Linked DNA regions of Tamandua tetradactyla. The protein of the gene in region 4 interacts with the protein of the main gene of each other region in a pairwise test. Links are inferred from orthologs where the notes say so. Each region holds a gene or a part of one and is shown on either strand. Other genes may lie near its edges.

Region 1 (7,588 bases), on a different chromosome or scaffold from region 4:
ATAATGTGCATTATTGCATGTTTTTCTTCATGTGCCTTGAGTATCTTTAAAGGCTCTGAAACAGAGATAAAGATAAAGTAGAAGATTTAATAACCACTGAATCTGTCAGAATAATCCCTTAAACTCTCAACCCCACGGCAAAAACAAAAAGCAGAAAACACCACCAAAATGATAAACAAAAAAGTTAGCAATTGTAGAACATTAGCGTGACCTTACAAAGACGGGTAGACACAAGAATCAAAAGACTGTTTTTTTGCATTATGTATAACATCTAGCATTGTGTGAATAAACAAATTTCAATGACACGGAATCCTAGAATTCTGACCTATTGTTTCAATATTTCAAACTGCTCTGAACAGTGTATCCAATGACAACTTTTGGAAAATTGTTACCTAATCTAAATGCTCTAAAAAAAAAATTATGCTCCCTTTAAGAAGGCAAGTAACGGACTGAAAATCTCAAATTCATTCACTCAAAGTCACAAGAGTCCACATACAAAATCTTTATTTTCTAATTTCAATACTGTTTTTCTATTAAAAGGCACACAGAAAACTGCAACAAAGGGTACTACCTCCAAAGGAGGCTTTGGAAGATAGCAAGTCTCTCCACAGAGTTAGGTTTGAAAGAACAGACTGATTCCATGACTGTCCCCTCTCTACTTTTCACAAGCTTTTCTAATATTTCTTCTTTCATGGAACCAGTGAATAACTGCCACTTATCATAAAACATCTTTTAAGATTTGTGCTTTATATACTTCTTTCTTCTTCCATGGAACAGCATAAATACCAATTTAATATACTCCTTTGCTTCCAAAAGGCAATATTGTTTCTCAATAAATATTTTATTCATGTATTTTCCCCCTTTATTATAATATTTGGTTAAAAACACATTTCCCAAATAGCTTTTCAAAAGTAAGTTTAAAAATTAAAAATTCTAAGGCTAGATTAAGTAACAATCCCACAGGAAAACATGTACAGGACTTACTGTTTTAAAATATTCTTGAAAGACATTACAGTCCTAGGTTCACTTGATATTCTAAAATTAGTAAAACTGTTGAGATTTCACAAAGTAAGCTCTAAAGAGTCCTTTAGCACATGTCTCGCAGGCGCGCGCACACACACGCGCGCACACACAAGCAAAGGCAAATATTGTGATACTTCACAATAGAAGCCAGGGAATCAAAACTATTGCGTGTTTATTACCACTCTCTACACAGTTTCTTATAAAAAATAGAGAATACAGGAAAAAAGGAAAGTTCTTTTTTAGTCATCTTTTATTCTTTTTTGAATCCATTTTCCCCCCTAATTAAAATGTGGGTTGAATCTCAGGCACCATAAACCTTAAAGTTGCAAAGAACAGATACCACTTTAAAAAAAAAAATCGGTGCTCAATTTAATTATATTACAAGGGGGGACAATGTACTAAAATACAACTTTCACATTTAAGAATTTTTAAGCCTGAGGGAGTTGTTCTCCAGCACAGGGCAAAACCTGTAGTCTGGAGTCAACAGGTATAAGAATTTAAATATACCAAATTTTTTATGTTAGTTAAGGTGACACCAAATATCTGAGAACTACAGCAAGACACTTTCACTCTGATAACGTGAAGATGCCTCATAACTTAAGTAAAATATTCTGTCCTCTCATAAATGACCTCCTTAAAAAGAGAAGCTACAGAGCGCATATCAAGGCAGAGAACACTACCAAGGCTGGACTTTAGTGGAGCGGGGTAGGCAATCCATGAGTCACACAAGAAAGTATCTCGTCTTGCAGAGATGGAGAATTTTAAAAAGCGATTTTGAATTCTTTTAAGTAAAAAAGCATTAGGAAATTTCTGTTGTGGAGGAAATTTTCCATCTTGCATTTGGTAATAAAACTCACATAAATTCTGGTTGGAGGCAGGGGATTAGCACAACTTGATGGAATAACCTAATTTACAAAAAAAAAAAAAAACAAACAGTCCCAAAGCTAGAAGATTCCATCTATATAAACAGCACCAACCACCTTCTCAAACCCTCGTCCGCACTGGAAGTGGGTTGGACACCCCAAAACCATTGGCCTACCCCCCACAGGAAGTGAATTACGTCCTCCCCCACCCCAGGACAGCCTATCACCCCTCCCCCAACGGAAGTGAGGCTCCCCCATTCAATCAGCCTCAATCCGTAGCTAACCAGTAACAACAACGGCAAAAGATGGATGATTTTCATGGGCTAAAGGACACTTCGACTGTGGTCACCCCCCAAACTCGCCTTGCTTACTGACCTGCTGACGAAAGAGACAAGCAGGGGCCTGGGACCTAAAGAAAGTCCCTTGTACAGAGGAGAATTCCCTCAGCCCCTCTCAATCGCCTTCACTCTTCGCACGTCGTTGTCTCACAGCTTGACAAAAATTCCTCCGCAGCACTTTATTTTTATGTCCTTTCTTTCTCCTTACCTAATCTCTTAACCACCTCCCCATAGGTAGCTTCTCTTATCGCAGTAACATTTAAAATTGTTCCGGTGAGGAGAAAAGTGAAATATTTCCGATTCCTGCAGAAAAATTAAGGGATTATTTTGCTCAAACGCGGCAAAGTAGTACGTGACTACGCAAGGTGCGGCAATTCGCGAAGGTTTCTGGGAGATGTAGTTCTTTTATTTTCTCTCTAAAACCCGCAGGAAGTAGCGATGTTAAATTGGTTACTACTATGCACAGCAGTCCTTGAAAACACATATTCTGAAGTCAACAGCAGGCTGACATAGTCAAATGGTCCATACGTCGTTCCCCTTTACCCTCTGGTATTTAATTGAACCCAAATATTCCTTCTTGCGGGCTGTCGGCCCTGTCGCCCCGCCCTCTGACTATGGCCACGCCCCCCCGCCAATCAATCGCTTTTAGGTCTTATCCTCCTTGGATGGGAACGCGGAGAGGAGGGGACTTGCGTTGACTCCTCCCATTACACAGAGGCGAGAGAGGCTGAGGGCCCGTGCGCGCGCGCGTGCTCGCTCCCGGGAAGAGCTAGAGGAGAGCGGCGCACGGGTGCGCGCGCAGAAAGGTGGCGCGCGGGTCTGGGAGGAGGCGGGCAGGCTGGTGGGTTGGGCGGGTGGCGAGCGGCCGGGAGCGCGCGGTGGACTCAGCGGCGGCGAGTAGTTTGCTAGTTGTTGTTAGTCAGTGCCAGTTGTTCGGCAGCGGTGGCGGCTGCAGTCACCAGGAAGGAAACGGGACGCCTGCGATGGTGGTCCCCGCGGCGGCGTTGTGCGCCCTTCAGGTAACGGGAGGGCTGTCCGCGTCCTCTCCGCTCCTTTCTCACGCTTCGGGTCATGGGGCTGGGGTCGCTTCGGGGTGAGGGCTCTGACCCGCGGGAATCCGGGCCGGGCGGCGCGGGGTCTGGTTGGCGCCGCCGCGGGGGCTTAGGCGGCCAGTGCGTCCTGCCCCGCTCGGTCTCTCCGGCTCCGGCTGGCCTCGCGCCCCGCCGGCGCCGCGCACCCCCTCGCGCCCCCCGCCGCCTCCTCCCCCGTCTTCGGCGGCCGCCCAGATCGCGCGGCGCCCCCCAGAGGAGGGAAAGTTGGGACCTGACGGTGAGGGACGCCCCCGGGCGCGGCTGGGTGGCTGCTGTGGAAAGTGAAGCCCGGAGAAGCTGGACGCGGGAGGCCGGGGCTGGAAGGGCTCCTCTCCCTCCTGCTAAGTCTACACCGTCCTCCCGCTCCCAAGCCGGGGAGGATCCGGCGCAACCACGCCAGTAGCGTCGAGAAGAAACCCTGCTCTCTTCCCTCTGCTGCTGGTGAGCCCCCTGATTGCGGGTTCGCTTGGTGTTTGGGGGTTTTGAGTGGTTCGGTTAGCCAATTTCTTTCTCTTTTGCCCTTTGACTCATCGTCCTTGCAACTTTTTTTTGCTTCCTTCGAGGAGGTCTTGCTGCCCAAAATCCCCCCTTCGCATGCATCATCTGTCTGAGAGCTTGATTTCGTTTTTCATCCTGTGACTGTGTTAAAGACTGCTGACAGCAACAGGAAAAAGTACCCCTCCCCCCTTTAAATGTTACTTTCTTGCAATCTGCTTTTTTTTTTTTTTAAATCCAAGTTTGGGAATTTGGGAGCTGTGGAATGAAGTTATTGGAAGGCTGGCGTTGAGGGGGTAGTGATGAGTTAGAGGAAAACTATGGTTTCATCTTAATTGGCCTTGCTATAGAAAACCTAATAAGTTTTTTTCCCCTGCCTCTATTAAATATGGTGAGATTATACCTTGAATTAAGTACTTGGAGACTTACATAAAAGACTGTTATTAGGTCATCCGGTGATGTATGTGAACAGCTTTTCACCTGAATTGAGATTGACTTGAGGATTTTGTTCTGGGGCCTACTTACAGATGGAATGTTCAGCCACAGTTTTTTTTTTTTTCTGATAATTAAAGTGATACAGTAATGTGTGTAGTAGGAGAACTCATATTGCTCTCTGCAGTGTGGAAATGAAAAACGTGAATTATCCACAGGGGTAAAACTTTCCGTGAGCAATCTTGGATACTCACTTCATGATGGCTTCTCCTGTAATCTCAGAGCATTTCTAGATATCTCAATTCACTGACTACACTAATTATTTTCTGAAGTCTCTGGGCACTTCTCTTTGGTGACTCGTTTTGTAAACTATAATGGTAGGTATTTCTTAGCTTTAAAAATGGGAGTAATAGCCTCAGCCCAGAGTTTAACAGTTAACAATGGAAGCAAAATTCATACCATTGCTAATGAGTTTTGGCTATGACCAAGTCACAAGCTATGTGAAAAAACAAGCCTCTCAAGGAAGAGGGGAAAATATTTTATCATTTCTTTATTTAGGAGACTCTAATGTGACTATCTTATGGGGGAAAGAAGTTAAATTATTTTCTTTAAAGCTTTTTGATGTGTAGATATAATGGTCCTTCCCCTTCCCCTATATTTAGGGATTGACGTTTATGTTCAACTCAATTCCAGAGTGGGAAGAGAAATGTTTTGGTGAAAGGAAAAGATAAGATTGCTTTGAACTATTATGATATTATGGCTATTCGTTTTATCCAATGATAGTACTGAGAAATTTTCCTGATAATGTTCATACCCCATTAACATTCTATCAGAATTCATTTTTAAGAGCATACCCTAAGGCCCATAAAGGAATAATGCCACTGTTTCCTGACAATCATATTGAAAAACATGTTTCTTGGATTCGTTAAATGTGTACTCACATAAATGTTTATCTTTGTACATTTATGGTAATGTAAATATTTAAGTCTGAGAACTTAAAAACTTTTATTTGCATACATGTTTTTTAACATCTCTTGGTGCCAACCATATTTGCCAAATAAACATCAGCCATAAATTCATGCTTTGGCACATTTCATATAATAACTCTTCTAAATTGCTCCATGGTGAAGCATCTTGAGATTAGCATTTGTTTCGTGAGAGAGATTTGTTGTTTTTAACTGTAATGATGTGCTGTTTAAGTGGAACAGGTGCTGGACTCTAGCTGTTTGTGTTGAGACCTGCCAAATCATACTCTTTTGTTGGATGGGTTAAGTAATTTAGGAACAAAACTGTGGCCCCAGCATGCTAAATTGAGTTCAAGTCTCCTTATCACTGCTGCAAATTCCTATTTTCACTGTAAGAGGCAGGTGTGTGTCGTGAGCTTTTATTTTATTTTTTTGCATGGGCAGGCACGGGAAACCGAACCGGGATCTCCCACATGGCAGGCAAGAACTCTGCCTGCTGAGTCACTGTGGCCCACTCTGTCATGAGTTTTTATTGTCTCATTGTTGATCTCTTCATTGTAATTCATAGTCCTTCCCCCTTTCCCCAAGTCTAAGCTCATTCATTGCTGATTTGCTTTCCTTGAAGAACTAAAATTCTAGTAACTTTCAGACCAAGAATATGTAACTCATATTTGTTAGACAAATGTTTTGAGTACCTTTTTAAAATTTAAATTAAAATTAAAAAAAAAAATTTTTGCATGGGCAAGCACCAGGAATCAGTGCCTTGCTGCTGGGTCTCCAGCATGGCAGGCTCATAACTGAGCCACCATAGCTCTCCCTTGAGTGCCTTTTAAGTGCCAGGTCTGATGGTCTGACTATATGTAGAATGATATCCCTTTCTGTAAGGAGCTTACAGTTTGCGGAGGGTGGGGGTGGGTGGGGGGAACGACCAATAATTACTTGCTGGTGAACCAGTAATTTTAATACAGTGTGGTATGCAACAGGGGTGTGTACACAGGTTCCTGTGGATGAAAGCATACAGGAGGGGTCACTGACTCAGGCTTGCAGTGGGGGGAATGTCCTGGAATGCATTTTAGTGGGTTACCTGAATTAATCTTGAATAATAGGTAGAAGTTAACTAGGTTCAGAAAGAAGAGAAAGGGTACTTTGGGGTGGTACTGTCCCATAGAAATATAATTTGAGTCGCAAATGAGAACCACATATGTAATTTAAAAATTTCTAGTAACCCCACATTAAAAAGTATAAGAAATAAATGAAATCAATTTTAATAATGTATTTTATTTAATTTAATATATCCAAAATATTATCACTTCATGTAATCAATATAAAAAGCATTATTGAGATAGTTGTCATTCTATTTTTTCATATTAAGTCTTCAAAATCTAGCACCTACACTTAGTTCATTGCAGGTACTCAGTAGGCACTTGTAGAGAGCACAGGTTTAAAACAGCAAAGGACACAGAGAGGAATGAAAGCGCATCCACTGGTGGATCACTAGGGGAGGACAAAGTATTCAGAAGCCAAATCATTGAATACCTTGTGAACCAAGCTAAGGAGCTTTACCTTTATCCTGAAGGCTGTGAGGATTTAGTGGGAAAAAATTTTTAAGCTGTATTATGATAGAATCAGATTTATGTTCTAGACCTATCATTTTGACAGTGAAGTAAATGCTGGATTAGCAAAACTGAGAAGAAGACCAGTTAGGAAAACATTCCTGGTGTGAAATGATGAAGGAAATAGAGGAGCAGGTAGATATATGAGAGAGAGATTTGGGAAGTGTTATCAACAGGACAAGGTAAGTGATCATATTATGGAGTTGCACAAGACTGAAGATCTAGGACAATGCCCACATTTGTGTTGTGGGCTACTAGAGAGAAAGAAGCCAGCCAACTGTGCCAGACAGACCAAAGATGAAAAAACGTCAACTCAAGAGATTTGTCAGGGAAATAGAAGGAGGAGAATACTTCACGGACCAGGACTACGGAACACAGTCTCATGCCATGAGAAAGCTAAGTAAGATAAGGACTGAAGAAAGTTTTGAAGACTTGGTGATTAAGGTGTCATTTGTGACTTCATATAGAGTAGTTAGCTACATTGTAGTACATTGAGGAGAAGAGTGAAGGACAGCTGAAAGTGTAGCTAATTGAGAAGGATACAGTGTTTTCAACAAAGGATTCTGAAGGAAAGAATGTAAATAGAGTTCTGATGCAGAGGATTTTGATGTTTGCTTTTTTTTTTTTTTTAAATTAAGAGTGTCTTGGGCATGCTTTTATGTAGGGACTGGAAAGAACTTATGGAGAGGGTGTGTATGGGAATTCGATTTTCTTCATAATCTTTCTGTGAACTTACAACTTCTCTAATAAAAAAAGTTATATTATATT
Region 2 (8,052 bases), on a different chromosome or scaffold from region 4:
AACTGCCGGGATCCATCTTCAACTGGCTTCCAAAGGAAGACCAAACTGATGATGGGAAAATCCACAGGAGGGAGAGGAGGAGAGAAAATGTGGTTGGGAGGGAGCAATAGCCCCTTCCTTTCTGGACACACGAAGGCAATGGTGAGGTTCTTTAAAGCCCTTGGGTGAACTCATTCATTTTCATGGTTTTAAAAATGCTGAAAACTACCAGATATAAATCTTCAGCCCAGTCCCCAGAGGACTCCAGGCATCTTGAACTTAACATATCCAGAATGGAAACTTTGATTCCCAATCCCCACCAAAGCCTTTTCTTCCCCAGTTCAGTAAATGGCATTACTTTCTAGGCAGTGGTTGAAACCAGAAACATGGGAATGAGCAGTCTTCATCTTTCTTCTGCTTTGGTCCTTACATCCACTCCAACTATAAGTCCTGTCCATTCTAGAGAAATTTGTCCACTTCTCACTATCCCCCTGGACCCAAAGTTCAAGCAACCACCTAACACACTTGAATTACTGCAACAGCCTCCTAACAGGTTTCTTACTTCCACTTCATCAGTCCTCCAATCATTCTCCACAAAGCCATCAGAGTGAATTTTTTAAAACCATAAATAGGAATATGTCATATCTCTTAAAAATCTTCAACAACCTCCCACTGTTCATAGAATAAATCTAAATTTCTTCCCTTAGTATATAAGGCTCTGTGGGACCAGGGCCCCATGTACCTCTCCCCCTCTTTTCCAGACCTGCTGACTTTCTTTCAGATCCTTAATCACACAAAGCTCTTTCTCTTCCCATGTTAGGGCCTTGCCATATGCTGTTCCCTCTGCCTGGGATGTTCTTCCCACCCCCACTCTTCAAATGGCTGCTCTTTCTTATTCATCAACATCACTTTAACGTTACCAACTCATTTAAGTAGGTCCCATCTATTCCTTTCTTAATCATAGTACCCTATTCATTTCTTTCCCAAAATTTCTTGTCTTATAATCGTTTGATTGAAATTTTTATTGTTGTTACTGTTAACTTCCACACTAGACTGGAAGCTCTGTAAGGATGTGGACTATGTCTGCTTCACTCACCACCACACAGTCATTGAATAGCTCTTAATTAATGCTCAATATTTCTTGGAAAACAGAATGTCACCCAATTAGGAAATGCAGTGGAATTTTTAATGCAAACTATAAAATATTGCTTTATTCATGCCATCATCACCCACCTAATAAGGCCTAAAAACTGACACTGTCCCAACCCTCCTCCCTCAGGGAATGAGGTAGTGTCCAACATGGCAAGGGCACGTGGGGATGGTCTGACATTGGCAAAACCAACTGACTGAAAGGGCCTATTGTGGCAGTTAGTTCTTATATCAATCTTATGGGTGGATTCTTTGTCTGAGTTTACTACATTTTATAGATGACAAAGTTGGGCAAATTTATCTTTGAAAATCAAGTTAGAGACTCAAGCCAAGCCGTGATGAAGACAAAGCCTGGCTCCTGTGCTCCACCTCTTATTCCTGTCTTTTTAGTTCTATTCTCCTTTCCCCAGCGTCCTCTGGCTCATCAGGTCCATTGGGGCTGCTTATCCAGATTAGCTACTGGCTCCTCATAGCCAGGTAAATTCATAAGACTTCCATCATTTCTGTTTTCAGGATCCTGCTTTTCCAAAACTAGCCTATTGAGTAAACTCATTTATTCTAAGGTAACAACCATTTCAAATACAAATTGCAGTTTAACAGGACATGTGGGAAGTACAGCTACAAGTATAGGAATGACTGACTCCTCTACCACAGGAAGCCAGACAGAATTTAATCTTTGGGTGAGTTGCTCAAACAACAGTCCCGCTGGCAGTTGCTGTTATTATCAATTTATATAAACCGGTATTTAAATAAGACACACATTCTCTTATTTGGTTCTCATAACAGACAGTGAGATAGAAAGATAGAATTATTATTCTCCTACAGATAAGGAAACAGGCTTAAGGAAGTTAAGTGCTAATGTCATCTAGCAGATGGCAGAGCCTGGATCCTAAACCAAGACCCCAAGTCTTTTTCTTCCATTCAAACCTTTCCCCTCCATAGGTCTGCCTCTTTTGTTGCCCACCGCAACTTGTGTTGAGAGCAAATTTTATCATGAACAAAACTGACCCTAGGAATCTTACTCTTGATTCATGTTCTAGGTCTCAATCTGCCTTACTCTGGATAATCATGAGTAGTTTGTGTCTGTTGCTGAAATACTGACCATAAAAGGTGCTGCTACAATTTTCTCATGAACAGCTGTAACACAGAGTAGAGAGATTAGAATTCCAAAATATCCAGTGATTTCTATTAACCCCATTCCATGCTTTGTATCTGAGAAATTTTGGACATATGGTATTAAGAAAACTTAACCGAGAATAGGGAGCATTATTCCGGCAGGTTGCTAAGTTTAAACTCAAGGTTTCCATCTTTTAAGCAAACAGAACAGATGGCAGACTCTGTCCTCCACCTGGTGGCCAGGTGTCCACACCCATTCGGCAATGAAAATAGATCAGTGAAAAGGCTCTCACTCCACCCTGAAGAGGTGATCAAGAAACACGTAGAACCTCAGTAATTAATTTCTCTATTTTATATATAAACTCGATGTTTTAAACATCTGCCTCTAACTTATTGTGTTAGATCCACTAATAACTAGGACCTTAAGGCGATGATAAGGCATACCTGAAAAGCACAGCTAACTAACTTGAGTTTTTATGGGTTATCAACTATTGGAATAGATCAGTTTTACAAGTTAAAAAAGGAGGGGGGGGGGTTGGAGGTGCGATATCCGATACCAAGACATTCTGAGCGTAAGGAGTAAAGTTCTGTACTTTGAACTTCATAGAAATGGAATGAGGTAAATGCTCTTCAATACATTTTTACAACAATCTTCTCTTTGGTGACTATAAAGACTTTCCAACGCCTCTGTTTTGAGTATCTTCCGTGAGGGGCGGGGGGTGGGGTGGGGGGAGAGGGAACAAAGAAAGGGTGGGAAGGATCTGGGCAGGACACCGCGTTTCCCACCCTGTTCCGCAGTCGGGTGGGGATCCCACCCGCCCCCAGCTTACGCCCGGCCGGCAGCATCCCGGGTCCCGACCCTACGTTACCGACGCCGGCGCCGGCAACACTGTTTTCTCCTCCTCTTCCTCCTCCAACTCCTTCAAGGCCGCCGCCTCTGCCGCTGCCGCCGCTGCCGCCAAGGCCTCCAAGGAGTCCTCGTTTTCGTACAGGGCGGAATCTACCCGGGTTTGGAGAGCAGAGGCCGCTAGCTTCGCTGCTCGGTGCGAGGTGTCCATCACCGCGCCGCCGAGGCCTGAGCGCCCGCGCTGGCCCCGGGCAGCGAAGCTGAAGCGGCCTCGGGCGACCCGCCGGCTCCTTACTTGGGGCGGGCGGTTACTAGGGGCGCGGTAACCAAGGACGCTACGGGCACCTCGAGGGACCAAAAGCCATACAAATTCCTCTCACTTTACCAAAGACGAGGGTCGGGTGTCTCCTGATTAGTGGAAGTCAGAGCTGAGTTCGACTGCTGGTTTGGAATAGACTGGAGGAAAAGGGAACTTTTTCTTCTCCTTCGCATTTCAACGCCTAAACGCAGATTTCTCACATTGTATTAATTAAATAACGCGTTTTATGTAGAAAATACACGTTTTATTCATTGAGATAATACGTTAGTAGAGACAGAAGCGGAGAGGAAAGGAGGAGATATTGTGTGGCGATGGCAGCTTTACATCCCTCTTCCTAACGTGTCCCACTCTTCTTTGATCTGACTGATAAAAGCCTGAGTGAGGAAGAGCCTGCCCTACCCACCAGTGAGTGACAGCCCAGGTAGCGTGAATCTGGCGTTTTTTTGCTTTGTCAGCTGAGTTGGAAGGCGTGAATTCCATGGGGACGGCAGACACAAGCCTTCGCCACCTCATCCCTATGAAGTCCTCCCACTCCGGGTCCGAGGACTTTATGTGGTACCTTCCCCCGGAACCAAGTGGTTATAAGAGACTCCGAGCCTCAAAAAAGTCAGCGAGGCGCAGTCTCAGCCCCGTGCTACCCAGCCCTTCCTACTTCCTGAAGCCGAGGCTGCCGCAATCCCCCTCCCCACTCTATCCTCTTCCCTCGCTGGCCCATTACCAGACCTCACCGCCATAAAGTTACAGAATTTTTCTCCATTGTGCAGCAGAACATCTAGAATCCATTAATAAGGTCTCAGCCCTTTTTATTTTTTTATTTTCCTGGCACTAAGTGATGCCAGGCTTCATAGGAATCCCTCCCTCTGTGCTCTGCCAACCTAGAGATGCTTTGCTGCATCACTTTGAATCTTTTTGCTTAATACACACGTGGAGTATGGCCTGATAGCTTCTTACCAAGCGTTCCTTGTTTGCTGATTGGGAGTGTGAGCACCTGCAAAACCCCCCATGCCCTCACCTTCTTCAGATTTTTGGCTGAGCATTTGCTTGGCACACTGGAACAAATGCTGGCTGAGTTCTAAGCATAAGGAACACCCAAGTCGCTTTCCGTACTTTGTATGGCAAGCCAAAAAAATATTAATCATCCAGTGAAAAGAATAAGGAGAATTTGAACAGTGCAATTAACAATCAGATAATGTATATCTATCAGATGATACATAACTAGCATACATGTATATTTAACACAGTTCGAGAATATCCATTCCTTTAAGCATACACGGAACATTTATGAAAGTACCCATGGTATTAAGTCATAAAACTAACTCAGTAGGTTTCAAAGGATTGACGTCATACAATCAACAAGCTCTGATCACTTAATACAATTAAGTTAGACATTAATAAAAGAATGATAATAAGAAAGACCTTTTCTGTACAGAAACTTAAAAACACTTCTAAAAATAATCCATAGGTTATGAAAGAATTCATAATGGAGATTAGAAAATATATAGAATTGAGTAACAACAAAAACACCGTATGTCAAATGTTTTAGATATGTGTGAAATGGTATAGTCACTTAAGAAAATAGCTGGAAAGTAGTTTCTCAAAAAGTTAAACATAGAATCACTATATGACTCACTCGTAGGCATATATGTAAGAGAATTGAAAACATATATCTATGGCCCTTTGCCACATGGCCTGGCATGTGGCAGTGTCTGCCAGTCTCTCCTTTGTCTTCTGGGTTTTGTTGATTTCAGCTTCTTGCCTTTGAGGCTTTCATTCTCTTTGTCTGAATTTCATTCTCTTATGAGGTGGGACACATCTTAACTGAAGTAACCCCTTCAAAGGGTCCTACTTACATGGGTTTACACCCACAGGAATGGATTAGATTTAAGAACATGTTTTGTTGGGGCGCATATAGCTTTAAACCACCACACACTTTATCATCAATACAGTATATACAAGTACAGGATACATGATCAGTGTACAATAAAGAGAGTGGTCAGAAAATTTTAATGAATGAATAATAGAGCATATCTGACATTTGCCCTTTACTAGCAAGTTCTCTCTGAATAAGTAGAAGAAATCTGAGGGGGGAATATTTAAAATCTTAATGAATAAGATTTTACAACTCTATGAAAATGTATTTACAAATTAAATCCTAGTATTGAATAAATTAATATTCAGTAAAATTTCTAACATACTATAATATCTCCTAATTATTTGTATGTTGTACTGGCTCAAAATTTGTTAGTAAGCACATACTACCAAGTACAAAGCTTTCTGCCTTTTTTACTTTATTATTACCTTATCTTAAAAAGAATTTACTAAAAACCCAGTATAGGATCACAGAATCCTTGATGACCTTAAAGATCATCTAATAATGATAATGATAATTGCTAGTGGTAATTCTGCCAGCTAGTATTCTAATTGTTTTGCTTATATAAACTCATTCCTTCCCTATAACAATCCTATGAGAGTAACTAAGCTATGGTTATTCTTTTACAGAGGAAGAGATTGTGTCACGGAGAGTTAAAGAGCTTACCCAAAGTGGGAAGTTGCAGAGCTGTGACTGGCACCCAGGCAGTCTGACCCCTAGTCCATCCTTTCCACACCACCTTCTCTCTTGGACTGTGCTGTCTTTCCTGGGATATCTCAGGGGATGGGGAGATCATGACTTCAAAAAACCCTGTCCTATTGTTGGACACCTCTATTTGCTTCCTTGTGATGTACCAAACTTCTTCCTCCTGTATATTTCTTACATTCGTCCTGGCTTGGTCATCTAGACTAGGGGCTTCAACCCAGATTCTTTCAGGTTTAGTCTGGGTATAAAGAAATGGTGATTTCAGGATTTTTCAAAAACTTGTCATTTGATGATATTTGTTCCAGTTTCTGGTTTGCTTTAGATCGCTACTAGCTAGCTTAATTTCTTCTTCCATATAATAACCCTTCATATGATAGAATGCAATATGATGTGTCCTGCCAACTTTTCTCACTGTATGTTCTTGGACATGCTATTTAACCTCCTTGAGACTCAGTTCTGTCATCTGTAATTTAGGGATAATAATACCTACTTATTGGAGTGGTTTTAAAATTAACTTAAAGTCATCATTGCAGGAGGTCATATACTCTCATTGATAAAGATATACCTGATTAAAAGCCAGAACGGCAGGGATCCTTTCTATAAAGCAGTAGAAGAAGTTGCTCAGAATTTGGGTTTGAGGATTGAAAATATCATCTATTCTCATCAAGAAATAGTAACTGTTAGCACTACTAACATCAGTCCTGCACAGCCAAAATTATATGCCATAAATCCTGTGTACGCCAGTTTGAAAGGCTGTATGTACCCTAGAAAAGCCATGTTTTAATTCTAATCCCATTTTGTAAAGGCAGCCATTTCTTCTAATCCCTATTCAATACTGTATATTTGAAACTGTAATTAGATCATCTCCCTGGAGATGTGACTCAATCAAGAGTGGTTGTTAAACTGGATTGGGGGAGATGTGTCTCCACCCATTCGGGTGGGTCTTGATTAGTTTACTGGAATCCTGTAAAAGAGGAAACATTTTGGAGAATGCGAGAGATTCGGACAGAGCAGAGATTGCTGCAGCACCATGAAGCAGAGAGTCCACCAGCCAGCGCTTTGGAAATGAAGAAGGAAAACACCTCCTGGGAGCTTCATGAAACAGGAAGCCAGGAAAGAAAACTAGCAGGTGACGCTGTGCTTGCCATGTGCCCTTCCAGCTGAGAGAGAAGCCCTGTGTTCACCATGTGCCTTCTTACTTGAGAGAGAAACCCTGAACTTCATCGGCCTCCTTGAACCAAGGTATCTTTCCCTGAATGCCTTAGATTGGACATTTCTATAGACTCACTTTAATTGGGACATTTTCTCAGCCTTAGAACTGTAAACTTGAAGCTTATTAAATTCTCCTTTTTAGAAGCCATTCCATTTCTGGTATATTGCATTCTGGCAGCTAGCAAACTGGAACACGATGACGCTGCAAACTAGAACACTGTGACGCTGCATACTGCGGTAGAGATACTATAAAAATTTTACTAGTTCTTATGGATAAAGAAGCAGCCAATGCTCCTATCCAAAACAAAGCAGAACTTTTATATGATGATGAAAATACAATTAATAATAGTGGAACTTCTATTCTTACACTTTTCAGATCTCCCACACAGGTAAAAAAACTCAACAGTAAACCCCCTAGGAGAACACATCCAAAAGTCAATGCAAGAGATAAAAAAATAAGTGAAGCAAACCTTAATAAGATCCCAATTTTCCTGTACTTATAAACATGACTGCATGATAAGCAAGGATAAATGGAATAGTAATAATTCTGCATCAAGCTCTTTATGTGTTCTCTACATAGAAAATAGCCTTTCTGGTGTAAATCCATCTGTTGAAACAACAGCAATTGGAACAAGTTTTGAAAATGTCCATCCAGACAGAAGTAAAAATGAAAATGTATTAGAAAATCAAGAAGTCAGACAGGAAATAAGAGCTTAAAAAGGAAACAGGTGGATTTCGATGGTGAAAATTTTCTCTCTGATAATGGAAATTAAGTGTTTCAATATAAAACTGCTAAGATACGTGTTCTAGTTTGCTAGCTGCCGGAATGCAACACACCAGAGACGGATTGGCTTT
Region 3 (8,136 bases), on a different chromosome or scaffold from region 4:
GCAAAGAATTAAGCAGCTGGGGAAATAAAAACATTGCTTGTGAGCTCTGCATTACCACATTACCAATACCAAGCCCATGACAAATACCACTAATCAATCACATTACCCTTTTCCTCTACTGAGCCTAAGAATTTCTATCTTCCAGTAGAACTCAAGGTTGACATTAGAATTGAATTTATTTGTTTAAAAACAGCTATTTTTTAAATGCTGTTCAAGTCAACTGAAAAAACACCACAAAAAAACCCACAAATACATATTTATGTTTGATGGATTTATAATAAATTTCACTTATTTTGAAAATAAATTTCCCAAAACACAAAATAGTTTAGATTTTTCCCATTACAAAAAATAAAACATACGGTCAATAATAACCTTTATTCTGAAAAGATATTATTTTTAAAAACGGTAACCTCCTTACTTAAAGACTCTTATTAAAAGAATTTTAAAAATATGAACAGGAATTTTGAAGGTACAAAAAAAACCAGTATGATAGATAACATGTCAAGTCATAGAAAAAAAACACTAACTTTGTTAATTCAACTTGCTGTTTAAAAGAAATAGTTCAACAGTAACAAAACACTTAAGAGAATATATGGGATTAAGATTTCTGTCTCACTTCCATCCAACACAAATGTGAAGTAGAACACAGACTCCAGAAGTGAGATGATAACAAGGGAAATAGAAATAGAGCCCTGGAAGTCTAGGATCACACTGTGATGAGTGACTTTAGTATGAAGTTAACTAACAGCAAGTGAAAATCTGGATTCAGGAAGTTTTAATACAGCACTGTGGGATAAGTGAGCAGGAATTATTTCCTAAATACTCAAGTGTGGTAAAGAAAAAACATGTAATATTCTATTACAAAACCATTCAGCTCCTGGCCCAGCATAATAGTAAGATTCATACGTATATGGGTAAAGCTAACAGATATGACATCACAACCTCAGGGATATGTACACCATGAAAAGAGACATATAGCCACCCCAACATCAACTTCGATTTGAACTTATACTAAAAATAATAAATTGCTCTGAGAAAGTTAATATCCATTCGGAGAAATTAAGTATATTTTAAAATAGAAAATAGTTTTTCAGTAAAGTTCCTTGAGTAGAATCTGGTAAGATAGTCCAACCTCAAATCATACCTATCTTACACACTGCGAACCAACAGATATATACTCATTCAAACATTTTACTATTTCTTGTTATTTTAAAGACTACATAGTTTGAGAAAGCTTTTGCACCTCTTTCTACTCTTACCACGTATAAAAAGTATAATAGGCATTCTACACAGAACCTTTTTTTTCTCTCTAAACAAACAGGAGTAAAACCTGAGTCATCTGCAATGACTTGAAATACAGTGTGTGTATAAAACCTTTAAATATCTATTTGCATTCAACTGCCAGTTAGTGTTTTTTAATTTGGTCAGGCCACTCATTTGGTGGAAAATGGATTTAAAATTTGCCTAAATTGCTACACTACACTGCATATGAAAATTAAAAATAGAAGGTCAACTTTGCTACATCCGACAAATCATTTTGCATACATAGACATGATACCAGGAAAAGAAGGGGTGATATTTGGGCAGTTACTGCTGGAAAGAGCTTTAGAGAAATGCTCATTTACTAATACCTTTTTTTGGAGTGGCTTCAATTTTATTACCAGTACTGAGTAGTAAACAAAAATCATTTACTATATAGAACCTATGTGATAAACAGGGAAAGGAAATCTAAAGCCAATTAAGAAAGACATGATTTTCCTACCACTGTAAGGCATGAAAGAGGGTTGGATGGGCAGGACCCCTCTTACCTTCCCTGTCCAGAGAAACAAGTATCCCAAATGCGCACACGCCAGAACAAGACTCCAGCCTTTGGCAATAAGTAACCAAAAACGATGACTGGAACCCAGACTAGGTTCTTACCTCCTGGATACGTTTTCTGGCCCGCTGAAGCACTTCTTCATAACCCTTCTGCCGCAGCTCACTGAGGCTTTCATAATACTCCTCAGGGTCGTCGGTCTCGGTGAAGAGGACCTGGGAGAGGATCTTCCAGCCGCAGGTGTCCAGGCCGTGGCCCAGATAGACCTGGAGCTGGTAACAAAGGGTGTCGATCTCCTGCTCGGTCATCTCAGGGGCGCCCCCGAACAGCACGGTCCACATGCCCGAAGGTTCCTCGGGGAACACCGGGAGGCACGGCTCCAGCTGCGAGTTCACAGAGCACAGCTGCTGGTGGACGGCGCGCAGATCCTGGAAGGAGAAGAGACCGGCCCAGCTGCACTCCTCGGCCTGGGACTCCAGTTCGGCGGCGAGCGACGGCTGGCCCGCGTCCGAAATCAGGACTGCCTCGTCCTCCCTCACCATTTCCAGCACCTCTATCTCCTCGGAGACCGCCCCAGCGGTGCTCACCACCCGCACTGACGACACCGGAGCGTCCCCGGGCGCCGGAGGGGCTATCGCAGCGGCAGACGCTGCCGCATCTCTAGCTTCGGATTCTCTCCGAACTGGGCTGGACTTGGCCCGCACTGGGCTCCTGAGATGACTCTCCACTCCTTTGCCAGCCGGACTCCGGAGCAGCGGGTCCCCGCGAAGACTGCGCGCGCTCCGCGAAGAGCCGCCCTCCACGCAGGCCGGGCTCCGCCGGGACCCCGGGCTCCTACCCAGAGCTGTAGAGGCGGAGGCCTCGGGCCGACCCTTGCCCGCCGGGCTGCCCGGCCCGCGGGTCCCATCGGACGCTGGTCCTCCGGATTCGGCGCCCCCTCGCGCCCCCGCCTGCTCCCGGGAGCCGCTCCTCTGCCTCTGGGCCGTCCGGTTGTGGCAGGTTATGGCAAACTTGCCCTCAATCTCGTTCCAGGCCACAATGAAGACGAATTTGTGCTTCTCGCGCTCGTCGAACACATGGGGCCGCACCGCCACCCAGTCCGACTCGAGCGTCTCCTCAAGCGCGAACGACATGGTGGCTCAGGGCGCGGGGCTGCGGGGGAGGCGCCGCCGGCACTGCCCGCCCGAGGACACACCGGCTGGCTGCGCCGAGCCCCCCTTTTGCCCTCACCGGGCGCCTTCAGCCATCTTAGCGCGCCGGCCGGCTCTTCCCGCTCCCTCGTCAGTCCCTCCGCACTCGGACCCGCCGCCCTTCTTTGTGGCGCGGCTCGGGAAAGACAACAACGCGTCCCCGGAGCAGGTAGTTCACATGGTCACGTGCGGCGGATCTGTTTACCAGCCCCGCGCAGCAGCGGCGCCTCACGCCCGCCCGGGCCGACCCCCGTGCGGCTGCGCCGGGAGCCCCTGGCGAGGCCGCGGTGCTGCGTCTGCGGCGCGCCGGAGGTGAGGCGCGGGTCTCGCGCTCCGGTCCGTGGGCGGCGACGGCCGTGGGTTTGCCTCCGCGGCTTGTCTGGGCCGATCTCCCCGCCCCTGCCTCCTCCTCCTCCTTTCCCCGGCCACCCGGAGCCTGCCTGACGGATAGGAGACTCTCCTAAACCGTGCGCTTCAGCATCGCCACAATGTTGCCATTCGGTTGCTGACGTCGGCGGCTCCACGAGGGACGTAAACACGGGCACGTGCCGCACGCTGGTGACGCGGCGGCGGCGTCGCGCGCATCCCGCCGCGCCGGCGCCGCCTCCCGGCGTCCCCCGCCTCCTTCCGCCGGCGACCGCGCTCCCGGCGTGGTTCAGTTCAGCCTTCGCCTGGGCTCCCGTGTGGGCGGCGTGCTGGCAGTCACCTGGGGGGCGCTGTGAGAGTGGCAGGTGTGCCCTGCGGCCCAGGTGGCGTCCGAAGCCCGGGGGAAGAGGAACAGAGGCAGGGGAGCTGAGACTTTTCGAACTTCAGGCATTCATTGGGATCCTAAAATGTAAATTTGCCTACGTTTTACCTGCGGGAGTCGGAAAAACGCCCAATAGCATTAACGCAACTATATGCTAAATTTTATTAGGCTTCCCAGACTGTTGGATTCTTCCCTAAAACCCTTGAGAAACTATTTAAGATATGAAAGGATGATGTCTGAAGATAACCCAGTAGTACTCCAAAAGAAAATAAAATGAAAATTCTGTCATGTTCTAAAAGGAGCAAAGTTTACTTTTCAAGCCATCGGTGTTTCTTCCCGTTTTATTATTGTGTACCTCCTTTTGAGGTCACTGGACTTGAGCTCTTCTAAAGTTTTATTCAATTATCAGAGTTCCTGAATGAAAAAAAAAAGTCCATATAAATCTGAAGAACTCCTGCTATTCATACTAAACTATGAAGAAACATTCTTAATATTGCTTAGTGGATTTTATAGTCCAGTTTACATTATTTTTTTAATTCTTTTTTTTTTTTTTTTACATGGGCAGGCACCAGGAATCGATCCCGGGTCTTCTGGCATGGCAGGTGAGCATTCTTGCCTGCTGAGCCACCGTGGCCCGCCCCGGTTTATATTATTACCTATCTCTGTCCTATTATGTGCAATTCGTATTACAGGCTTTCTGCACCCACAGCAAAGTACCCTAGGAATTATTTGTTCTTTTACTTTTATCCATGTTTCCAAAATATACTCGTTTCTTTGGACTAACTTTGCACTTTTAGCTATGTGTGATTCAGTGTTATCCTGAAATCCAAATAAACAGCCAAAAGTTTTAGCCCTGCGGCTCAGCTAGAGCTTTAGATCTATAGATCTGCTTTGACAAGAATAAATAAATAATGAGAGTCACTTCTTTGGACAAGCTAAGCAAAAAGAACTTTGGTTTTTTAAAGTTTTTGCAGTTCTGTATGTGGAACAACAGACTTTCAAGGCTTGCAACTGTGGACTTGTGTTCACTCTCAAATGCTAATAAATGTGTTCACTCTCAAATGCTAATAAAAAAAACTTTTGAAAAAGAGAAAAACTTTTGCAAATCTGAATTAATAAACAATAGACATAGAATCTGTCCTTTTCTATAAAAAATTTGCTACTAGAAGTTTTTCTAGCAAAAAGTTACTGACAATGATCACTAGCTCTCTTCTAGCAATGCATTATTGATAGGTTTTAAATCTCAGAATGAATGCTGACAATATGTTTGTGGGAGATACTTTTACTTATATGTATGTTAAAATTGTAATATTTATCCACAGATATAAAATTATGTATAACAATAAGGTTAGAGAAAATGGGTTTGTGATTCCACAGGTGTTAAATATTTTCCCCCAATACTCTGGCCACTGTCAAAACAGAAATGCTTCAGTGTTTCTTATTTACTCTATTTTAGTAATTGTCATCCTAGAAATGAAAAACAAAGCAAAATAAAATTCCCCTGGCAGTTTACTGTCTACTCTACTATCCTTTATTTAAGTCTTTATCAGATTGTCAGATAAGATCTCTCAGTATATAAATTACTCTCTGAGAATAAGTAAAGCTACAGAAAAACCACATACACGGTGGCAGCCTTGTAAAGGTCCTGAAAACTATTATCTCTAAATTTTTTAAAACTATTGAAGATTGTTAGATAATCAGGGAAATATTTTAACTCTTTAGGCCTTTTATTACAATTATAATAGCTTTACATAGCAATTTTTAAATTGCACAGCATTTTCAGGTACATATTCATTTTATCCTCAAAATAATCATGTCATAAAGGTATGAAAGGAGTAAGTATCTTTAATTTTATATATAAGCAAAAATCAGCTCTGATTAGTTAGGTCACACATCCCAAGGTTGGGAGTAGGGAACAACTAGAGTTCAAGGGCCTAATTCTAAATCCACTGCTGTGCCAATTAGATTCTTCCAGAAACAGACACTAAAAAGAAGCTAGCAATGGAAAGGTTTATGGAGGACCACACCTGTAAAAGAAAAGGAGGCAGAGAGCAGGATTCAGAAGACTAATCTAACAGGGAGCTCCAGAACAAAGAATACCCTGTAGAGATGTTCCCCATTGGGCAGAAATTGTTAGGCCTTAAGCATAACCTACAAAGCTGAAGTTAACTCCAAAGACACCAACAGCCTGAGGCTAACCCCACTCCTTACAGCTGAACAGTAGGTGCCATCTTGAAGGAGGATCTCTGTGACACATCGCATCTGCCACCGTTTACCTTGTATGCTATATGGATCTACTTCCCCATTACATATTTGGGGAGTAGCTCCTTCAGGGATCTAAACGGCCTCTTTTCCTGAGAGGAAACTTAAAAGAATGAGGTTAGTGGGATCACCTATAGTCTCCATTATTGCAGATGATCTCATGTCCCAAACTGATAATCTTCATCTCCCTTCCCCACTATCCATTCTAAAGTCCCTTCACCCTCTGCAGGCGTCAGTTGCTTACCTGGTAATATATCCCAAACCCTCATCCAGGAAAGGTCTGACCCTTTGGTAACTTTACCTGTGTGTAGCTTCCATCATTGCACCACTACATTTGTTACAATTGGGCAAGAGTGTACCAAGAGGCACCCAGGTTCTACAAGGATACTTCTCTGTTCCTATCATGTAACAGCAACCCTACCTCCTCCTGCTGATCAATGTCAGTTACCTTTGACGAGAGGGTGACTCCTCCTCTTGCCCTGCAAGAGCCCAAAGTGTCCCAGTGGCAGCTGTAACTTGGAGTTCAATGGGACCTTTGCTATGTCCTGGGCAAGAATGCATCCATTTTTGGGACCAGGACCTCTAACCCTGCAGAATCCAGAGCTGTGGATATCCCTGCCCCCTCATCCTCATTCTCCCCCCACCTCTCTTCCCTTTCCGGTAAGTAATTGAAAGTAATGGTAAATGAGAACATTCCCACTTCCACCCTGGAAGCCAGAACCATGTATTCGTCCTATAGAGCACACAGTGCTATATAAAGGTCAGTGATTCAATGCATATACCACATCCTGGAGATGGAACCCCATCCAGGTATTGCCGCTGAGCTGATGTTTCAGTTGTACCTTCAGCATGCCATTCCAGCATTGATTTAGGTCAGCAGCTTCTAGATCCATAGTATTTGTTATGACCTGTGCATCTGTAAAATGGCTTCCCTGGTTGGATGCAATGTTGTGTTTCATGTCTGTAGAACAGGCATTATATCAGTGGCTTGATAGTGGTGCTGGCTAAGACCTTGAAGGCAGGAAAGGTACACTTCATATCTAGATCGTCTATTCCCATGAGAGGAAAAAAAAAAAAAAAACAGCAATAACACTGGCCCTTCCAGATGAAAAGGGTCCAATGTACTACCAAATGACTCCTCAAGGAATAGTGCCATATTGGGTGCTCAGTGATTGTCTCCTTTGCTGGCAGATTGAACGTTCAAAGGTGAAGTTGCTAGATCAGCCTAGGTAAGTGGGAGTCCATGTGTTTGGTCTATGGAAAGCTCCATCTCTACCCCTATGGCCCTATCATCTGTTTGCCTCCCATGCCCATGAACATCCACTAAATGCTTTGTCCTCTTGGTTGTTGATGCCCATTCCACGTGGGTAGTTTCTGGTGACCATTAATGTCTGATACAAAAATCTTCACAACTTTGTTCCCACTCTCATGTAGTCACTTACATGTCTCTACTCAAGATCTCCTTGTCTCTGATCTTCTAATCTTTCTCCTTCCAGGTTCCAAACCATTCACCACGGTCCATGAGTTCATATATATTTCAACTTCAAGTGACTTCCCCTTTCAAAAATCTTGGATTAACAGTTGCACCTCTTGAAGGTCTACCCATTGGGAAGATTTTTCTTCATTGCTGTCTTCACAGTCATCCTTGAATAAAACTATAATGCAACCAGCATTTTGATTTGCACCCACATACCAAAACAGCCCATCCATAAACTAAGCTAGGGCTTTTTCCTCTTTCTTCAGTTGTATAGGGTCCCAGGAACACTGCTACATGATGTTGGGATGCTATGATAAGTGTCATGATGGGGCATAATGCTGGATACTTTTGGAGATTTGGACCCACTGCTTATGCAACTTGCTTGTGCCATCTTTTTCTGCTCGTGTTCAGTCCTAAATGTACCATTTCCATTTTATGATGGATTGCTACTGAGCCCAGATGACTTCATCACCTGTTGCCCAACTTATGATAGGCAATTTCGGACTCATGGTTACATGGTTAAGCATTCCAATTCTACCAGGGCCCATAAGAATGCTAGGAGCCACTGAATGAAGCTGCATGTGAGAATGATTGAGGAGGGCTGGGGACATAAATGAAATCAGAAAGAAAGATAGATGTTAAA
Region 4 (8,456 bases):
ACAACCCTGATCATCTTACACCTGGCACTGAGCAAGAGAACAAAGGGATGTAGGAGTGGAAGGAGAGCGCTGAAGGAGAGAAAGAGTAGAGAGTTAATTAGAGGGAGGTTAAGAGATGGGAGGGCAAGAAGGGGAAGGGGGAGGTCAGAAGAGTCAGGTAGACATGCAAAGAAGAAAGGAAATTAGGTAAAGGAGAAAATGGAGAGACAAAGAGAAGAGAGAAGGGTGAGAATAGTAGAGAAAATTTAAGTAAAAACACTGAATTAGGTTATTTTTTTCTGCCATGCTTCAAACTGTCAGGGGAAAAGTACTTGAATGGTAACATAGGTGGCCACCGGCCCTCCAGTCCTAGACCTGAAAGTTACCTTGGAGCTGCTGGATCTGCTTGGTGAACACCTCTGCCTGCTGGGCACTGGCCAGCCGCTCATCCTCCAGGAGACCTGCAGAGAGAGGAAGGAACAGAGTCAGACAGGAGCACAGCACCTTTGAGCCCAGGCCCTCAGTTCCCGACACAAGCACTCACCCTGCAGCTCCAAGGAGTCATCCTCATGCTGCCCGGCCAGTTCCCGGGTCTCCTCCAGCTCTGCCACCAGCTGGAGTACCTGAGCCCTCAGCTCCTCCAGCTCCGTCTCCGTGAGGCTTAGGCCCCGGTGCTTGCCAATCGACAGGGAACCCACACTGCCACCTTTCTGCTCTTGTTCTTCCTCTTCTTCCACCTCTTCTTCCTCCTCTTCCTCCTCCTCCTCTTCATAGAGAGCTGGGAGTAATACCTCCCCTGGGAGAGATGTCCATCTCATCAGAGTAAGAGCCAACTGCTTTCCCACAGTCCTTTAAGCCCTCAAACTCACTACCCCAAGGCAGAGATAGTATAATAGTGCCATCTGGTGTCCCCCACAGAGGGACAGGACCCAAGCTCATGATGAGTCATTGGGTGTGAGTGTCAAGTTTGGAGGTAGCGCTTCCCAGGCCCTTTGCACCTGCACCATCCTACCACTGCCTTTGGGCAAGTGGATTAGCCTGCTGCTGGCTCAGTCACGTGCAGCTTGCACAAGATACTTGGTTCTTCTAATCCTGATCTTTGGATAGTGGGACAAGTGGCCAAGAAAGAATTCAGACACTGTGCATGTCTTTAGGTCGAATGAGGCAAGAGTTATGCTTCAGAATTTGTAGACAGTTAAAAAATTATCTGGGTGGCTTGTGAAAAATTAGTCTTTCTATAATAAGAAAGCATTTCAGTAAGAAAAAACATCCAAATAAAATGATTCATAGTGTTTTACTGGACAAACTTTGGGGCCCTATCAAACGTTATGTTATTAAGTAGCTTTTTTGAAGTTTTCGACAAGGCTGACTCAGCCTTCTTTTCCCTGCTGGATGCCATGAGGTCTCCTCTCCTCTACCTGAGTGTTATGACGCCCCACCTCCTCCCTTGCTGACCATAAGGCAGTTCTCAGGGGAAGTCTTAGATTGTCCTTGTGTGTAAAACAAAGCTCATCATTTTAGTGCATTAAGAACTTGGGGTGATAGAGCCTCAGTCTCTGGCTAGTAAGCATCCCCTCCTTACTGCAATGCAGTTACTCTAAATAACAAACTCTTGTCTAGATAGTGATCGTTTGCTTTGTTTTAAATCCCTGAATCTCTGGTCTTATTTTCTCCAATCAGCATCCTGAGGTTCACCTGGGTCCCCTTGCATCATCTGTTCCTGTTGGGGACAGCAGGGTATGCAGAGGGGCCTGGGGACACTTCACAGGAAGTCCTGAAAAACAGACCAGTGTCTTTCCAGGGGACAGTGTGGGCCGCACCTGACAAATCACATGCGTGTGGTGGGATGTTGGCCCTCTCATCTGCTCCCTTCCTAGGCCCTCTCTTTCAGGCAGTAATCTGTCCTAGAGAACCAACGCCACAAAGCTTCCATCAGAAGTTGATGGTGGTGGCACCAGAAAGACAGCTCAGATGCCCACCCCCTAATTTTTTTTTTTTTTTCCGCATGGGCAGGCACCAGGACTCAAACCCAAGTCTCTGGTATGGCAGGCGAGAATAAGGCGAGTCACCACTTATCACTGGGTGGGTAAGCAGTGATAATAACCCCCTGCTGAAAGGCTGCGTCAGAGCTCTGACCAAGCAAGGCCTCTTTCTTTGTCTGCCAGCTCCCCTGGGACACACAGCCTGGTTAACGAGGTGACAGAAGCCCCAGAGGGAGGCACCCTGGATTTCCCTTTAAAGCCTGAGCCCTGGGGAGAGGGCTGAGGTGAACTGAGGAAGGGCTGTGTCCCACTTGGGAGCTCTAGGGGTCAGAGAGGAAGTGAAAGGGAAGGGAAATTGGGCGTGTGTTGGGGGATGGGGTGGAAGCCTTTCGGGAAAACTCACCCTCCATAGCTTGCATTCCTCGGCGTTCCAGGGACCCCCAACGTTGGCCTCTCTTCCTCTCACAACCCTCGGACCCCTCATAGGAGCCTAAAGTAGTTACTGTTGGTCCTGTGCACAGTGAGAGGAGGGATTGTGGAATGTGAGGGCTTGCTGGGGGCTGGGGTGAAGGGAGAAAGATAGAGGGACATGCCATCTAACCCTTTGGAGCCCTGGGATTTTTAATCCCAGTGGAGGCCCCTGACTCACTCTTGTCCAGCTCTGCAACTCGACCGCCCTACCTGGGGCGCGCTCACACTCGGGCTGCCAGAACCCCCAGCTCTGTACTGCCCAACCTCATCCGCACCTCCTCCTTTAAGCTCCTCTGTCTTGCACAGTCAGAAAGAGGGTGTGTATATATTTAGCCCGGAAGGGATAGGGAGGAGGTAGGCAAGATAGAAGAGTCTAAAAGGCTGATGTGGCGAAAGGAAGGGGATGGAGGTGATGGGGGAGAGGGCTAGGGGAGGGAGCTGGGGCCGCTCCCATTCTCTCAGGGGACCTCGTCCCTCCCTCCTTCGCCCCGCACTCCGGAGCCTCCGGGGCCATTGGGTGTTCAGGGTCTGGGCACCCAGGGGCTGTGAGTATTATCGGGGCTGGAGAGGCCAAATGGAGAGGACTCAGGGGATGGACTGCCAGGGAGGATGCGGCCAGTGTGTGGAAAATGGAGACCGGGGCCCGGGGGGAGGACCAGGATGGAGGGAGGAAGACTTAGGGAGGAAAGGTGAGGAGCAGAGGAAGGAGGAAGGGAGGACCTGGTGGTCTAGAGGGAGGAGAGATGGAGACGAGGAAGGAGTGGCGGTGGTGAGCAGGGAGGGGGGCGGCTCTGACCTGGGCCCGGGCAGCTCCAGCCCGCGGCTCCCGCGCCGGCCCCGGCGCCCGCCTCCATGGCCGCTCCCTCAGCAGCCGCCGCCGCCCGGAGAAGAAGCCGCAGCCGCAACCGCCGCCGGAGAGGCCGGGGACCCGGAGCCCGGAGCGCCGGGAGGAGGGAGGGCGGGCCGAGGGGGCGGGCCCTGGCTGGACCACCTGACGCCGAGCCCGGCCGGCTCCGCCCGGAAGCCCGCCCCCCCGGCCGGCTCCGTGACTGGGCGAAGCGAGCGGGCGCGGCAAGGCGGGCGAGCCCCTCCGACACGCCCCGGTTCCCGCGCTCAGGGAGAACCCGGAGCCGCCGGGCCCGGACCCCCGACGCAAGCCAGCCGGAGCTTACGGGCTGCCACGAGTGGGAGCCACGAGTGGGAGCCACAAGCTCCGCTGCTTCTCGCGGTGGGCCCTGCCCCGAGTCGATTGCGCGCGGGGGTCCCTGTGCGCCCTGTGTCGGAGCCCGGTCCCGTTCAGTGGTGGTGGAGGGAAAAGGCAAGGATGGATGAATCCTCCCGGCCTGTTTCCTCCAAGCGCGCAGACACTCGCGCACACTCCCCACCCTCCCTCACCAAGGAGGCCCCGCGCCCTCCACGTCCCCGCCGTCAGCGCCGACCCGGGTCCGGGGCGCGGGTTCCCGCGCTGCAGGCCGCGACTTGCTGGCCCCAGCCCAGCGCCCTGGCCTCTCGCGCCCCAGCGCAGCCCGCTGTCGGGAGGAGGGAAATTGAGGCCGGGATATGCCAACAGCGGGGCCGGATTCACTTTGCCTTCCCCGAGCTCTCAGCAAGCCTGAGCCAGGGGCCTTTTTAGTAGGGGCTCCTTAGTGACCCCACTTGGCCCTCCTCTCCCTGCTGCCACTCCCATGGGCCTCGAGTCACGTCTCCTACCCCGCCCGGCAGCGTGCTCAGAGTGAGCAGTGCTGATTTTCACCCTCATAGAAAGGTTTGGAAGCCAGTGGGCATATGTCAATTATTCAATCATTGATTTAAGGAATGTTTACATCTTCTCTTCAGGTCTCAACCCCAAAAGAAGTGAGGACACTTCCCAGCACGTTCAGAAAATTGTTGGGAAATTCCTAAGCTGGGAAGACCACCAGTCTCTTCCCTTGCTTAGCCCCTCACACTGGCCCTGGACGTATATTGTCTGTGTTCACTCCTACAGGTTCCCAGGTTCCCAAGTCCTCCGTATCTGAACATTCTGTTTCACAGAAAGTAAGCCTTTCCTTCGTTTACTTTCCACCCCTCAGTTTGGAGTCACCTCTAGGCAGCCTTCCCTGAGGCCCCGGGCTACCCCAGGGAGGTGCCTTCTGTGTTCTCCGGTAATACCCGGTCCTCCTTTCCTCTGTTGCAGCACCAGTCATTCTGGGTTGTCAGAATCTGGTTTTTACATTTCTATCTGCCCAATGTCTTGAAGGTAGGGAAGTATCTTAAGTCTTCTTTGTATCTCCAGCACCTGACAAAACGCCTGATAAAAAGGAAAAAACTAATTAAGGTAAATCTCCCAAATTTACCATTAATGCCCCTGTCTTATCATGGAGCATAAGACTTCACACTTACAGGGTTAAATGTTGTCTAGAAATGCTGTAAGTCTGTTCATCTCTCTTTCACCCTTCTCCCCACCCCCAATTGTGGTTCTCAGAGATGAGGAACAGAGAGATCCAGGGTGTTTTCCTGAAGAGTTTGTGGGTAAGGTGACCCAGTCTTGGGAAAAGACTGCTGAGAAAGCCCACCTGCACCCCTTCTAGAGGGCCAGGTGCAGACATCAGGCCTGTCCAGATTTGAGGAGCTGGGCTTTTGTCAGGGGTGGTGGAAAGGAGCTGGCAGTGGTAGTGGGATGCATAGAAGCCCTGGGAATGATGGAGACTCCTGCTGGAAGCCGGATGACTGCGCATTCTTCCCTGCACACTCCTTGTTCCAGCTCAGCCCGCAGGGTCAAGTTAGCAGTTGGCCTTGACTACTGACTGTGACACTCTAATCTCTCCTCAGGGAGGGCTGCTGATTCTGAGGATCAGGACTAATCTCTCTCTGGCTTCTGGTTCCCCTTAATTTGGGAATACTCAGAGGAAACCAAAACCAGTCTATTCTCAGGACCTAAACTTGGGCAAAACCTGGCCAGACCAGTACTGGGTTGAAGGTGGGAGAGGGTTTAGGAGGCAGAAGAAAAGGGTTTAGCAGGTATGGGTGTGGGGAGGGGGAGATGGACTGTGGTCCAGGGGTGCATCTCAGAAGAGCCCAGGAGTGTTGGAATGTCAGCCAGATGATCATCTTGGGCTGGGGGTGGAGGTTGTATGATCCAAATTAATCCTTGTAATCCCTGGATTCAGGACTCACTTCCTTCCTAATCCCATCCCAGCAGATCAGCCTTCCTGAGGACTGATAGAGCCATTTATCCCCTTTCCCCTTATTTCTAAATGCCTAGATCCTTTCATTAAAAAAAAGAAAAGGTGTAAACATTCAAAACATGCAGAAAATTACAGTAAAAAGAATAATATAACTAATATCCCTGTGAATAGGGTGAAATTCATGAGTGAATTTCATGAGTGAAATCCAACAAGTGTTAATATCTTTTCATTCAGAGGCAGCCTTTCTGTATGTGTTTTTACAGCTTTACTGTATATGTGTGTATCCACAAACAATACATAGTATTGATTTGTATGATTAAAAACTCTAAATGGTGTTATACTGTACACATTCTTCCTCAAACCTCCTTCTCTTCCCTCAATATTTATTTTAGATTTGTCCGTGTTTTTATACATATTCTTCCAATTCATGAATTTCAACTGCTGCATACTATTTCATTTTTTAATATACCATAATTTACTTCTTTATTCTTCTGCTCTTGGACATTTAGGCTACCTCCAGTATTCCATATTATAAATAATGCTGCAATGGACAGTATTGTGGATGCCTCCTTGGATATATGTGAGTATTTCTCTAGAATAGATACCTAGAAGTGGAAGTTCCAAGTCATAGATTATGTACATCTTAAACTTTGCTTTTATTGCCAACTTACTCTATAAAGTAGTTGGACCAATTTATACTCCACCAAAGGAGGCTTACTTTCTTTTTTTTGTCCCTAACCTCTACTGATTTGGAAATTTACACATTCTATTTCTACTGTTGTAGGATTACTTTTTTCATTTGTTTGTTTGTTTGTTTTTTTAGTGATTACCTTTTAATATATATTTTTAACAATCTTAAATCTAAGGTGAATCAATCATTATTATCATCATCTGCCTGAGTAACATAAAGACCTTAGTAGAGTTAATTCTGCTCTTTCCCTATGATCTGCCACATTTCTATTTAGTATTTTACCTTGTTTCTAATCCCCATTAATTGTTGATGTTGTGGTGGTGGTGATTATTATTATTATCATCTCTGGGGTTAGTGATTATTTGGATTTACTAACATATTTATACATTTCTTTGTTCATCATTGCTTCTCGCACCTCATTCCTTTCTTCTTGGTTCAGTTTCTTTCTTATGGAGGCTATTCTAAGGTAGCATTTAAGTAAAAGTCTTTGAGCGGTAAGCATTTTCAGTCTTTTGTCTTAAAGTGTCTTTATTTTACATCCTGGAAAAGATAATTAAGTGGGCTTAGAACTCTATGTTTACAGTTCTTTTGGCTTTTTGAAGATATTCATTTTTTCTATAATTTTTCATTGCTAATAAGAAGTTGGCTGCCAATATAATTGTTTTCTTGGTTGGCGAATATTTTCTTTCTGGTTGATTTTAAGATTTTCTCTTCCTTTTCAGCATTCTGCATTTTTACCCCAATGTGTTTATGTGATTGGGACTTGGTTTATTTTCTCAACTTGAGGACCTGTGTTTTTCTTCCATTTTGGAAAATTCTCAACTGTTTTCTATTGGAATATTACATTTCCCCTATTCTCTCAGTCTCTTTCAGTAACTTTTATTAGATATATATTATACTTTCTCGTTCTTTCCCTCTTTCTTTGAACTATTCTTTCATATTTCCTATGCCATCACTTACCCACATTTTGAATGATTTCATCACCTCTATTTTCTTTAATTGAATTCTTTCTTTAATTGAATCTAATCTGCTATTAAATGCATCAAGTTTTAGTTTCAATGGTTGATTTTCGTTTCTTGACATTTTATTAGTTTTTTTCAAAAACCTGCCTTTTTTCATAGTGCCTTAGTTTTACATTACAGTTAATTTTCCTCCCTTTATTTTTTCTTTTTATGTTCTACATTATAGGAAATTTCAAAATTATATGAATGTAGGAATACAATATTGAACATCCATCATCCAACTTCAATAATTATAAACTCACAGGAAATCTTGTTTCATCTAGAACTCCATCCGAAGTCCACCTCAAATATTTTTAAGCAAATCCTAGATTTCATCTATATTTCTTTTAAAAAACCTAACCATAAATAATATCAAATAACCAGCTGGCTGATTCGAATGATTTAAGTAAGACCCATACCTTGTAACTGGTTGCTATCTTACTTTAACCTCCTTCATTGAATGTATGGGTTCCCTATTTTTCCTTGTTTTATTTTTGTTAAAGTCCTTAAATATAGCTTTTTTTTAAAAAATAAAAGCAGAGCCCATAGGCTTTCCTGATGGATTGGATATGGGATGTGTAAAAGAGAACTCAAGCTGAATCCAAGTTTTGCCTGAGAAATTGAAGTTGTTATCATGTGAGATGGGCAAGACAGGAAAAGGTTGTGGATGTGACCTGTTGAGTTGTGTTGGTCTATTAAGCCAGCACTACCCAAATGCAGTCCATATACCTGTTGTGCTAGTTTGAAACTGTCATGTACCCCAGAAAAGCCATGTTTTTTAAATCTTCATTCAATATTGCTAGGTGGAATCTTTTTGATTGCTTCCATGGAGATGTAACCCACCCAATTGCGGGTAGTAACTTTTAATTAGATGGTTTCTATGGACATGTGTCTCCACCCATTCAAGGTGGGGTTGCTTACTGAAGTCCTTTAAGAGGGAACCATTTTGGAAAAAGCTTTAGTACCAGCAGAGCCCAAACAGCCAGACATCTTTGGAGATGCAGAAGGAAAATACCCCCGGAGATGCCTTATGAAATGAAGAGAGAAAGCTAGCAGATGTTGCTGTGTGCCTTCCCAGGTGAGAGAGGATGTCCAGAAGCCAAGACCCCAGCAGACACCAGCTACATGCCTTCCCAGTTGACAGAAGTGTTCCATATGGTATCAGCCT

What was found.
Region 1: the proteins of CCDC136 (region 4) and HMG20A interact in binary tests that used the Homo sapiens proteins (3 or more experiments, as listed by UniProt). The two-hybrid records come from large-scale screens. The link is inferred for Tamandua tetradactyla from reciprocal best matches to the Homo sapiens genes CCDC136 and HMG20A.
Region 2: the proteins of CCDC136 (region 4) and FAM161A interact in binary tests that used the Homo sapiens proteins (3 or more experiments, as listed by UniProt). The two-hybrid records come from large-scale screens. The link is inferred for Tamandua tetradactyla from reciprocal best matches to the Homo sapiens genes CCDC136 and FAM161A.
Region 3: the proteins of CCDC136 (region 4) and JMY interact in binary tests that used the Homo sapiens proteins (3 or more experiments, as listed by UniProt). The two-hybrid records come from large-scale screens. The link is inferred for Tamandua tetradactyla from reciprocal best matches to the Homo sapiens genes CCDC136 and JMY.

Annotation. Positions count from the first base shown.
Region 1 is NC_135338.1:65,792,340-65,799,927, reverse strand, and holds the start of HMG20A (high mobility group protein 20A), read right to left. Parts: upstream 3,420-7,588; 5' UTR 2,433-3,419; exon of another isoform or gene 2,262-2,432; intron 1-2,261. UniProt on the Homo sapiens protein: Plays a role in neuronal differentiation as chromatin-associated protein. Acts as inhibitor of HMG20B. Overcomes the repressive effects of the neuronal silencer REST and induces the activation of neuronal-specific genes.
Region 2 is NC_135343.1:34,621,177-34,629,228, forward strand, and holds the start of FAM161A (protein FAM161A), read right to left. Parts: upstream 3,394-8,052; 5' UTR 3,303-3,393; coding exon 3,114-3,302; intron 1-3,113. UniProt on the Homo sapiens protein: Involved in ciliogenesis.
Region 3 is NC_135347.1:52,427,607-52,435,742, forward strand, and holds the start of JMY (junction-mediating and -regulatory protein), read right to left. Parts: upstream 3,259-8,136; 5' UTR 2,950-3,258; coding exon 1,921-2,949; intron 1-1,920. UniProt on the Homo sapiens protein: Acts both as a nuclear p53/TP53-cofactor and a cytoplasmic regulator of actin dynamics depending on conditions. In nucleus, acts as a cofactor that increases p53/TP53 response via its interaction with p300/EP300.
Region 4 is NC_135327.1:170,216,240-170,224,695, reverse strand, and holds the start of CCDC136 (coiled-coil domain-containing protein 136), read right to left. Parts: upstream 3,302-8,456; 5' UTR 3,287-3,301; coding exon 3,229-3,286; intron 2,473-3,228; coding exon 2,365-2,472; intron 776-2,364; coding exon 524-775; intron 441-523; coding exon 366-440; intron 1-365. UniProt on the Homo sapiens protein: May play a role in acrosome formation in spermatogenesis and in fertilization.